Linked DNA regions of Drosophila melanogaster. The protein of the gene in region 1 interacts with the protein of each later gene in a biochemical or structural test. Each region holds a gene or a part of one and is shown on either strand. Other genes may lie near its edges. The genes, in order: Sema2a and PlexB.

Evidence for each region.
Region 2: the proteins of Sema2a (region 1) and PlexB form a complex in vitro, tested with the Drosophila melanogaster proteins (one study listed by BioGRID).

Annotation. Positions count from the first base shown.
Region 1 is NT_033778.4:16,514,175-16,519,168, forward strand, and holds the start of Sema2a (semaphorin 2a), read left to right. Parts: upstream 1-1,975; 5' UTR 1,976-2,096; intron 2,097-2,279; exon of another isoform or gene 2,280-2,359; intron 2,360-2,745; exon of another isoform or gene 2,746-2,844; 5' UTR 2,845-3,001; coding exon 3,002-3,167; intron 3,168-4,994. UniProt on the Drosophila melanogaster protein: Ligand for transmembrane receptor PlexB. Plays a role in growth cone guidance. Required for both proper adult behavior and survival. Can function as a selective target-derived signal that inhibits the formation of specific synaptic terminal arbors.
Region 2 is NC_004353.4:40,745-46,062, forward strand, and holds the start of PlexB (plexin B), read right to left. Parts: upstream 3,035-5,318; 5' UTR 2,681-3,034; coding exon 2,170-2,680; exon of another isoform or gene 2,030-2,169; intron 542-2,029; coding exon 1-541.

The DNA.
Region 1 (4,994 bases):
CAAAACAGGACATTCACAACAAATGGTTTTTATCGCTTTCTCAAGCTGTGTATGTGTGTGCGTGTGTGTGTCTGTCAGTGTGTTGGTGTGGTTCGCTGCTGGTTATTTGGCCAACTTTTTATATAATGCATGAAAGTTGCCGGCCGCTGACAAGTTGAGCGACCAACAATGTTTGGCGAGACAAGTTCCATGTATTATTTGGCACAATCAAAATGCTATTTAGGCTCTCTCCCAATTTATTAAGTAATAAATTGCATCACAAAATAATAAGCAAAACGAATGCTAGTTTTTATGTTTATATGAAGGGTGGTTGATTGGCAACTATTTCATTTTACTTGAATTTCTCTTTTCGTCCCTTAAATTGTTGCATGACTTCTTATGGAATGACGTGTACTTTTTAGATTTGAAATTATTATTTAATTGACCGCAACTAAAGGATTCCGAGATGAAGAAAGCGAAAGAACTAAACAAAACACATCCCATCTTTTTCCCACACATACATACGTGTGCGAGTATGTGCTACGTGTGAGTGCGTTGTGCCTTTGTTTGTGTACGTGTTGGGGCATACGCGCTGTGCAAAGTGCGCTAAATTAAGCTGTCATTAAGGACTTAATTAAAGTCCTTTGTTGAAAGTTGACATTGTGTGAAAGAAACGTTTGCGAAAACAAATGACAATGGCGACGTTGTCGCTGCTGCACTTGAAAGGCTATCCCCCGAAAAAGGGAAAAAAACCCAAAAATGGCAACCAACATCAAAGCAACTACAAAGCGGCAACAACAATGCGGGCTAGAACGAGAGTGAGTGTGAGAGAGGGAGAGGCAATGAAATAGAGGGATAGAGTGAGTGAACATGTGTCAAAAATTTTCAACAGTATCATGATGCAAGTGCTCCTTTGGTCGCACGGTCGGGTGCGAGGGGGACGACTAGTGTGGTGATTCTGCGAAAACTCATTAGCAGGCAAACAGAGAGAAAAGGCCAGGCAGACACAATCAACCAGTGGCGTGCGCAAGGATTTCTTGTGGGGGTTAGCCAATGATTGCGATCAAAATTATTAAATTTTAGTTGGAAACGTTTGCACTATATTATAAGTTTCTTACCTTTTTTTTCTTTGATGGTCACGTACCACCTGAGCTGATCAGTGCCTCAAACAATCATCATTAACATCTCAGCTGAATAATTGAATAAACTACAGCCCCTACGCCACTGATGGAAACGAAAGCACGCACAGGTGGCACCCGTACAATAGAAAATATCAAGGAGATGCGAAAACATAACCGACTTGCTTTTTAATTAAATATTTTGCCAAGCAGACACTCAAATGCCAGAGACACTAGCAAACTGCGTTTAATTGCCGCTCGAGGCTGCTAAATGCAAGGATTCGTCTGCATACCTGCCATCCATCCATCCATCCTGCCGCCCGTTTTGTGTGTGTCTGGGTTGGCAAATGTTTGCCTATTGCCAAAATTGTCGTTGTCCTTGTTGTCCTTGCTAAAAATCACTTTGCCGCTTCCGCACGGTGAAGTACGAAAATTGAATACCGCCATTCTGCAACGGCATTTTGTGGCAAGGAGCAAGGATTATATCGACAAATGAAAATCCACGACGCTCCACGAATATTAAACAAAGTTTTGTGTCAACAGTTTTTACCTTTTCTTAAGAATAATTTAAGAAATAGTTAAAATCGGCTTGAATACGTCAAAGAAAATATTATATTATATATTAACTAACTTAAAAAGCAAGCGCATTGTAAACAGACAAAAATAAGAAAGCATATTTCAAAGTTAGCCAAAATAAAATCTAAAACTTCTGATATAAAGAGAAAAAGTTATGCAAATTATATATATTTTAAATATTATTTTCAAACACGATCACCATTGTTGGTATATACCAAAAACCCAAACGCGTGACTGCGATAGTCATTCGACTTAAACGCGCTAGCGTTTTTCTCACATCTGCGCGATCGGAGCGATCGTGCGTTGTTGTTGTTTTCTCACTTCTACTTGTTGTCGGTTGTTCTTTTGTGTTTGGTGTTTCCGCTCGAGATTCTTGGGCATTTTACCAGTGTTCCCTTTCGTGGCGGAACTTGTTTCGCATCGGTAAAATATCTGAAATGCATTAGGCTTGCAACTATCTAATTGGCGTTTTGCAGTTCATTCAATTCGGAGTTCGATTTTCGAAATTCCAATAAACCGAAACTCCCAACAACAACTCAAGTGTGTATCTCTGGCTTTGTTGTTGCGTATGTGTGTGTGTGTGAGTGCGTGAGCAAGTTTGTGTGCGTGTGGGTTAAAGGCAAATTTTAAACTGAAAGCAAGGAAATATTTGCAGATTCATCATTTATTTATTGATGCAGTGCCTTGTAAATAGTATAAACTTTAAGAAACGCGCTCGTTCACCTTCCTTGTCTCTTTCCCACTCTCCAGCGTTGAGGAATTTTCATTGTTTCCCAATATTGTTGCTTTTTTTTTTGTTTTTCCGATGCGTGGGCATATAATAAACCAGTTTAACGTTTCCTTTTGCCTTTATCTTCATATCGCACATGCTTTCCGATGGCTAAATGCGTTGAAATCGAATTGAAAACCGAATTGAACACAGAACTGTGTAAAATGCATTACGCCTTTATGCGCCTGCAACGCATACATAATTAATCCGAAACGAAATTGGCACTACGACTGCGGGTCCAAAAAAAAAACATATATATATAAGGAGAAAAAAATAGCAGAGGGGTGCTATAAATCGCCCAAGGAAAGAAGTTTATTTTAAAATCCATTTGCCAGTGAAATCAATTCCATTGCAATTGCCGCAAAAGTGTGTAAAAATAATACAAGTTAAATGTGTTAACAGTTATTCGTGGGAAAAAACGTGCCGGTTTTTATTCATCAAACGGTAAAATCAACAAGCAACCGCCTCTCGCTCGCTCTTGCACTTTAATCCAATTGAGGTTGGTGGGGTCGCATTCGGCCCCCGGTCGACCACCCCTCTCGCTCGCACCGCCCTCGCAATGTCGCTTCTACAGCTATCGCCGCTCCTCGCACTCCTGCTACTCCTCTGCAGTAGTGTGAGCGAGACAGCTGCGGACTACGAGAACACCTGGAACTTCTACTACGAGCGTCCCTGTTGCACTGGAAACGATCAGGGGAACAACAATTACGGGAAACACGGCGCAGGTAACTAGCCAACTAACGGTATAAAAAGGGGCGGGAACACGGATTAAAACACACTTGTAAAATAAATTTTCACTTTTTGTGCCCTTTTTTCGAGGGGCTTTAAAAATTAAAAAAAATGTTAACAAAATCTTTTACTAGTTCACATTTCTTCGTAAAAACTATGTGAAATGTATGTTAATGTTCGTTACACTTAAAACTTAAGAATGAAAACATTATTTAAAACGCTATTTTACAACTTGATCATAACTTAAGTATGTATGAAAAAAATGAATTAAAATTGTTTCGCATTACTTATATTTTGTACAGGGTACTTAAATCGTCGGCTTACACGAATAAGACAGCTTTTTCCCCTTTTTTAACTGCGGCCAATATTATTTTTCAATCTTTCAGGCAACAACAAATTTGTAATTTATTTGCCATAATATTCGCACATGTTCTTTGTGCCTTTATTATTTATCTCGTTTGGTTCGATTTCAATTGCAACTATATTTTTTCGTTTCGGTTTGGGCCATTTTCCATTTCTGGCTCGGAGCATTGTGATTGTTGTTGTTTTTTATAATTTGCATATTAATGCGGTGCATTCATAGTGAATATTGCTGGTCCGCGCAATTGTGAATTGTTGCTATTCATATGCATATTTCATGTTTAAACAAATACCAATAATGTAATCATATTTTAACCATATGCAGTCCTATAATCCACAGAGATAAATCCTGAATGATATATAATTGACTGGGTTCCCTTAATCCCCCCCTCCCCTACCACTCTAGAAAAATGTGAATGCTTTACCATTTAAATGTTCAATCTACCTAGATTTTCCGCTGTATTTTTTTACAAGCCCTCTGTTTCGTAGACTTGGCCAGCTTTATTGAGTCATTAAAGCCTAAAAGTATTTAAAATTCATCTACGAGCGGCCACAAACAGGTTATTCACTTCTCTATGTCTAAGCCATGTTGGATTTTGCCAATAATTTTGGCCAGCATTCATTTATCATCGTGCGGTTGATTGAAAAGTTCCCCAGCATACATTGAATGTGGCTAGAGAACAGCAAAAAGCCATCAAGTATCAAGAACGCAGAAAATGTTGTATAAAAAATTTAAATCTCATTTAGCCAGGCTGGCCAAACAACAACAACAACAACAGCAATCCGGGTCAAGACCAGTAAACATTTTCTAATAGTCCACGTTCCGGAATGCCTGGCATGCCGTCCCCCTTGTCTCCACTATATCTTTAACTATAAGCCATAAGTGCAGCATAAAACTTCACGTGCCGACAACAACTTTTTGGTCCTTGCCGCATGTTGCGCTGTAAACTCAATAGCTAAGCACTTGCCCTAAAGGAAAACGTGAGACGATTAGGGAATCGTTCAAGCTGCTTGCGCATACTTTTCCGGGAGTTATATAGCAAAATCTATATGGGATAAGTCCGAAATGCATGCAGAAGGAGCTACAAAGTTCGAAGGTTGGACATTTGCACCAGATGCACTATATAAACCGATCGGCGGGCCATAAATTAAGGTAAAACCAACTAAACCACAAAAGCCACCGAACTGAATAACAACAAAACTCTAAAATGTCAACTATAAATTCCCCCGTTGATGCGGAATATTTATTGCATGTTTTTTTTTATCTTCTTCTTCTTTTACCCGTCTGTAAATGAAAAAGCACTATTTTCATTGATTTAAATGAAATTAATTGCACTTTATTTTAGGGTAGTACAAAATTTATGCCTCTCTATGGCATTTGTGAGTACCAATGCGGCCGCAACGTCCTCTGTCGCCACCTCGGCCACTTCAATTGGTTGACTCAGCGGTTTGACAGATGTTTC
Region 2 (5,318 bases), on another chromosome or scaffold:
CCCATTTTTTGCGCCAATTTGTGGCTGGCTGGAGTTACTTTCGCATCCCTTACAATATTGTAGTCAACATTGTTTTCAGTTGCAGTGCATTGAACAGTTATTTCAGTATAGCTGTCGTAATTAGGATCTGTAATGCAAATGCGTGCCAAGCGTGTTACATAACCGGCCTCATCAGCTAAATGTGATTTTTTTTGAACAATTATGAAGTACGCATATTCAGAAGAATTAAAGCCGTAAATATAATCGACTAGAAAATGATCCCGATATTTTACATCGATATTTATAATTGACTGCTGTATTGAAAATTCAGCATAGTTTAAATCATCAAGTCGGCGGGACGAAATGGCTGGCACGTCATGACGATAATCACCAACATTCGTAAATGTTGTCCCCACATATAAAATATCCTCTTCTTTCCACGCATATCTCGCCGGACCTACAAATGCATATGTAGACGCGTTTTCATCGTTAGCAGCCAATGGAACTGCAAAAAACTGGGGCGTTGCCGGAAAACGTGGCAGGCTGTAAATTTCGCAGGCTCCTGAAAATAAAGATAATTTTATTACTATCGCGGAATTTTTTAAAACCTATTTTAAGGACAAAATATAACACCTAAGTCATAGTATCCATTGGACTTGATATACCCGTAACTTGTAAAGTAAAAATGTATACTACATGTAGAACGGAACGTCACCGAGCCTATAAAATATCAAAAATCCTGATCTTGATCACTAACCGAGTCGATCTACTCATGTCCGTCTGCCTGTCCTTAGCCCACGATTTTCTCGCCGTGGCTCTAGAGGTTGCTCCAGGCTCTCTCGAATTTTTGTTCGAGAGCGAGAGAGCGGAGAGCGCTACAACGAACAGCTCTTTTCTACGCATACAGTGATACCAGACATCTGTGTGTGTGCACACGTGTGCTCATGCATTGTAAATTTGACAATATATGCCCTTCACCTTAGAAGTTCATAGACTTTAAATCTATATTATTTTTGATCAATTGGCACCATGCGAAAAATTCTTGTTTTGCATTGCCTTAACGTTATTATTATTTGAAAATAGATTAGAAAGAGTCAAACCTATGTACATATTATCACAAAAAAAAATTTCAAAAATGACTTTATAATATTATTATATTCATTAGAGTATTCAGCTTTCGACGTGTGAAAAATTAATAAGGCAATGATTGTTGAGTGCTTGTGTCCGCACTTCGTGCCTCAAGATACATATGACTTGCAATAAACAGTTTTCATATTTTTATTTATGTTAAAAATTTTTATTTTCTACTACGTATTATTTTTATGAAATTTTTTTAATTTTAATATGATGTATAAAATGATCCATTTTTATTATTTAAAATGCACATTAGATTCAGTTGTTTAGTTTCAGTTTTTTTTTTGTTATATTCCAATTTGATATTCCTAAAAAAGAGCGCAATTTCATCATATTGCTACGAAATTGGCCAAAACTTACCAAATATGTAAATTCGTTTATTCGATCAGAATTGATTTCAGGAACAGTAAAAATTGTTAACTGATTCGTTGAAAAGTATTTTAAAGACGATTCGCATCGCATGATTGAAGTAATATTATGCCCAAAACTGCCCGCCCATATTTTTGCAAACATTTTAGAATATTTTTTTTAATTTTATTAGTTGCTTAAACTTTTTGCCACGCCTACTCTAACTCCCTAAAGCCGCCAAACCGGTCACGCCCACACTATTGAACATTTTTCAAATTGTTTCTTCTTTTATTCCCCAATATCTATCGATATCCCAGAAAAATGATGAAATTTCGATTTCGAGTTCGCATTCACACTAGCTGAGTATCGGAGATCTTGACTATAGCATATTATCTTGTTTTATTTTAATACTTTAACGTTAATACTACCCAAATTGTTTCAAGAGTTCAACTATAGATTTTTTAATTTATAACATTTTAAAATCCTGTTTTGTTTATCATCATATTCCTTCCGCACTTTTGAATAATTACTTATATTCGCCGCTTTTTTATGTGGAGCTCAAAAACACTGCGACATTGTTCTACGATGACTACAAAAAATGACCAATAACTTCTATAAACCAATACGATATGTCAGGAGTTTCGGTCCCATACGAAGTCGCCGACTTAAGTATTTTATTTTTATTTTGATATGTGTTTGCTATTTTACCTTGTCGAATGCTTCCACACGCTATGAGAATACCATCGTGAGCGTAGCTTACTACTAGAATTTTGTTGAAGTTATTGACAAGCGATGTCTCAATATCTTCCGGACAGCCTCCAGCGTGACATTGCGGGGAATCATGTAACGGCCCAGTAACAGCCTCGGCCAGCACTCGAAGGTTTTCGTTAAGTTTAAGTATTTTATTTGTAGCACCCGCAAACAAAACATTGTGCATAAAGTCGAAGCTCATGTGAGTAAAATAATTTTTAGATTGAGAGTCTCTAACACTTTCTATATTGTTTCCAATTGATCGATTGCCATAGCTGGAAGCTGTTGATTGAACTGGTATTGATGGCAAGTTAAACTGGGCGACTATGTCATTTAAGGGAGATAACGCCTGAGCCGGCAGTTCTTCAATGCAGTTAACGCAATAATGCTGAGAACCGAGTATGATAATAATACACAGTACATGTAAAACATGTATAATGTTTGCACAATACAATTCCTTTCGCAACATATTTATTTGTGGTTTTGTGTATGATCAGTTTGTAGTTGAGTTTGGGCATCAATTCCCCATATGTCATTTTTATTATTATTTAGCTCTACATTCTCTCTCCTTAATATATAAACTTTTTAATATCGATTGAATTTAATGCGAATTAATTTTATATGCCGCTGATTCACTGTAGGTGCATAAATATTTTTAAATTAAAATGATCCATTTGGCTATTTTAGGTTTAGCGCATTTTTTATAAGGTTGTTTAACACAAAAAATCGATTAGTCAATGTAAACAAATATTTATTTAAAAAAAACTTCTTAGGCAACGCTCAAACGTTGTGTGTACACTATCAGTCCTAGAGCAGATTATTAGTATCGGCTGTATCAGCCTATCGCATACAAATTGAACTATCGAGCTAGAGGGCATTGTAATGCTGTATTCACAAGGAGCACATTAAAGGGAAGCTTACCATTAAAAACCTCGGAAGTATTTATGTAGATATCGTTTAAATGTTTTCAGTTCTGATTCCACATCCAATCAATTGGCTAATGTTAAAAGAAAAAAGAAAGAAGACACCACCGATGGAGTCTAAAATGTTCCAGGAACATTTTTGTAAAATAATATCAATGAAATGGTAGTCGCGTTAAAAAGAGCAATCTCCAAAGAATCTAAATTGATCTCATCTTCTTCCATGCAACACTTGCCGTGCGCGCTATTTTTATCTTAATATTGTTTTTGATTCGAGTGTTACAGACCCACCTATCTCTACACAAAGTTTTGAACAACATTGATTTATGTGGCACGATGGCTAAAATTTTATAAAATTATTTTAAAATCATAACATGTTTAATGTTAAATTATTTCATTAAGGGTTTCTCATGGCATGGAGGCTTCAACGCCACGTAGTGTTTGGGACTATTTATGTATATACTTATACTAATTTTACTTATGTACCTTTTTTACTATTAAAATTATATAAATTTAAAAAATTTGATTATTATTATTCAACAATTTTTGGAAAATTTGTCCAACGAATGGCTATTTTGCTAATCAATTGTCTTATTAATAATTTATTGAATTTCTCTACAACTGTAAATTAAGACCAACCGTCATTAAGACCTGTAAATTATTAACACTTAGTTAAATAAGTATCACTAAATAGATTATATCGGTGGGTTTTAAATTTTGACTGAATTGAAGATTCGATTTTTATATATTCTCAGAGAGATTTCTGATCCTGTCATACGTACATATGTATATACAATTTCATTTATTCTCCGAATATATAAGTTAAATTAGGGAACCACTACAGATATTGAAGTTTTATTTGTGGATTTTTTTCAACACTTAGCATTGGATATTGACCCCTATAAAAATGCTTCATCAATCCATTTGTGTAGTCACTTTGCAAGGGTGTACTTCGGTTAACCGACTATATTTCAAAGCGATAGTTAATGAAACTTATGCTGCTATCACATTATTTACTGTGAAAATTCTTTGTGAACTGAAGAGCAATCGGGAACATCGATCTTGACAACGCCGAATTCGTTTTGGTATAACACAGGATCTTTAGTTTATACTTGGTTGGCATCACATCGAAACTTAGCACGGGAAACCATGGTTAATCGACAATATTTGCGCTGTGCAACATGTACAAGTACATAAATAGAACTGTTTACACATAACAACAATGTATCAAAAATCCGTTAACAGCCGACGTGAACACTCGAAACATAACCAGACCTGCCGCAGAAAATGCTGCGATAAGAGATGCTAAAGAGATAAACCATCTCTTACCAAAAAGTTAGATTAGATTGACCAAAGAGGTTAATGTGTACACTTAAACTGTCTATAATCTTTACAACACATATAATGACAAACATGGATATTTTTCAACTCAATAAGAGAATAATTTATTAGGAATTTGGAATATCAAACGGCACAATGATACGCAGCTCTTACTTACTTACTTTTTATTAATTTTAATTTTCTTTTTACAAAAAAAAAAATGTATGCTTGGAGCAAATTATTAGGAATTATATAAGTATAATATTATTATTATAATAGTGTTATTCCCAGCTAAGAACAAATCGCTTGTCATCGGGAAAACGTTTTTGATTTTATAAATTAGTTTCCACCTTTCCAGTTTTGTTGGTTTGCACTCACAACTCACAATGACGCAAATGATTGCTTATTCTGTATTTTTTTATTCTAGTAGGAAAAAATCTACATTGGCAACGCTGCTGCCGTGAAGCTAAGAATGCAGTATTAAAAAGCGAAACAAAATAATATCAATAAAAAGGTTAATGGTAAACTTAGGAACTTCCAGCTCTTAAACCGCGCAAATATTTTCCTTTATGTGATAATTAAGCAAGGTCATGTAGAATCTATTGATAAATTTCTGATTACAAAAAAATATTTAAATATTCGTTGGTTTTAAAAATTGGAAGCAATTGACCCCAACAAATGCTAAGCACGAGCTCTTGTGACATTGTCTACTCCGAAAAAGGAATGGTAATCTTTTAATTTTTTGATCCTCTTCATTGTAATTAAAAATACGTCTCATTATGTAACACAGTTTTGGATTAAAAATCGAGCACACTACAAAATAAACTTTTAATAAAAAATATAAGACAACATAACATATATAAGTGA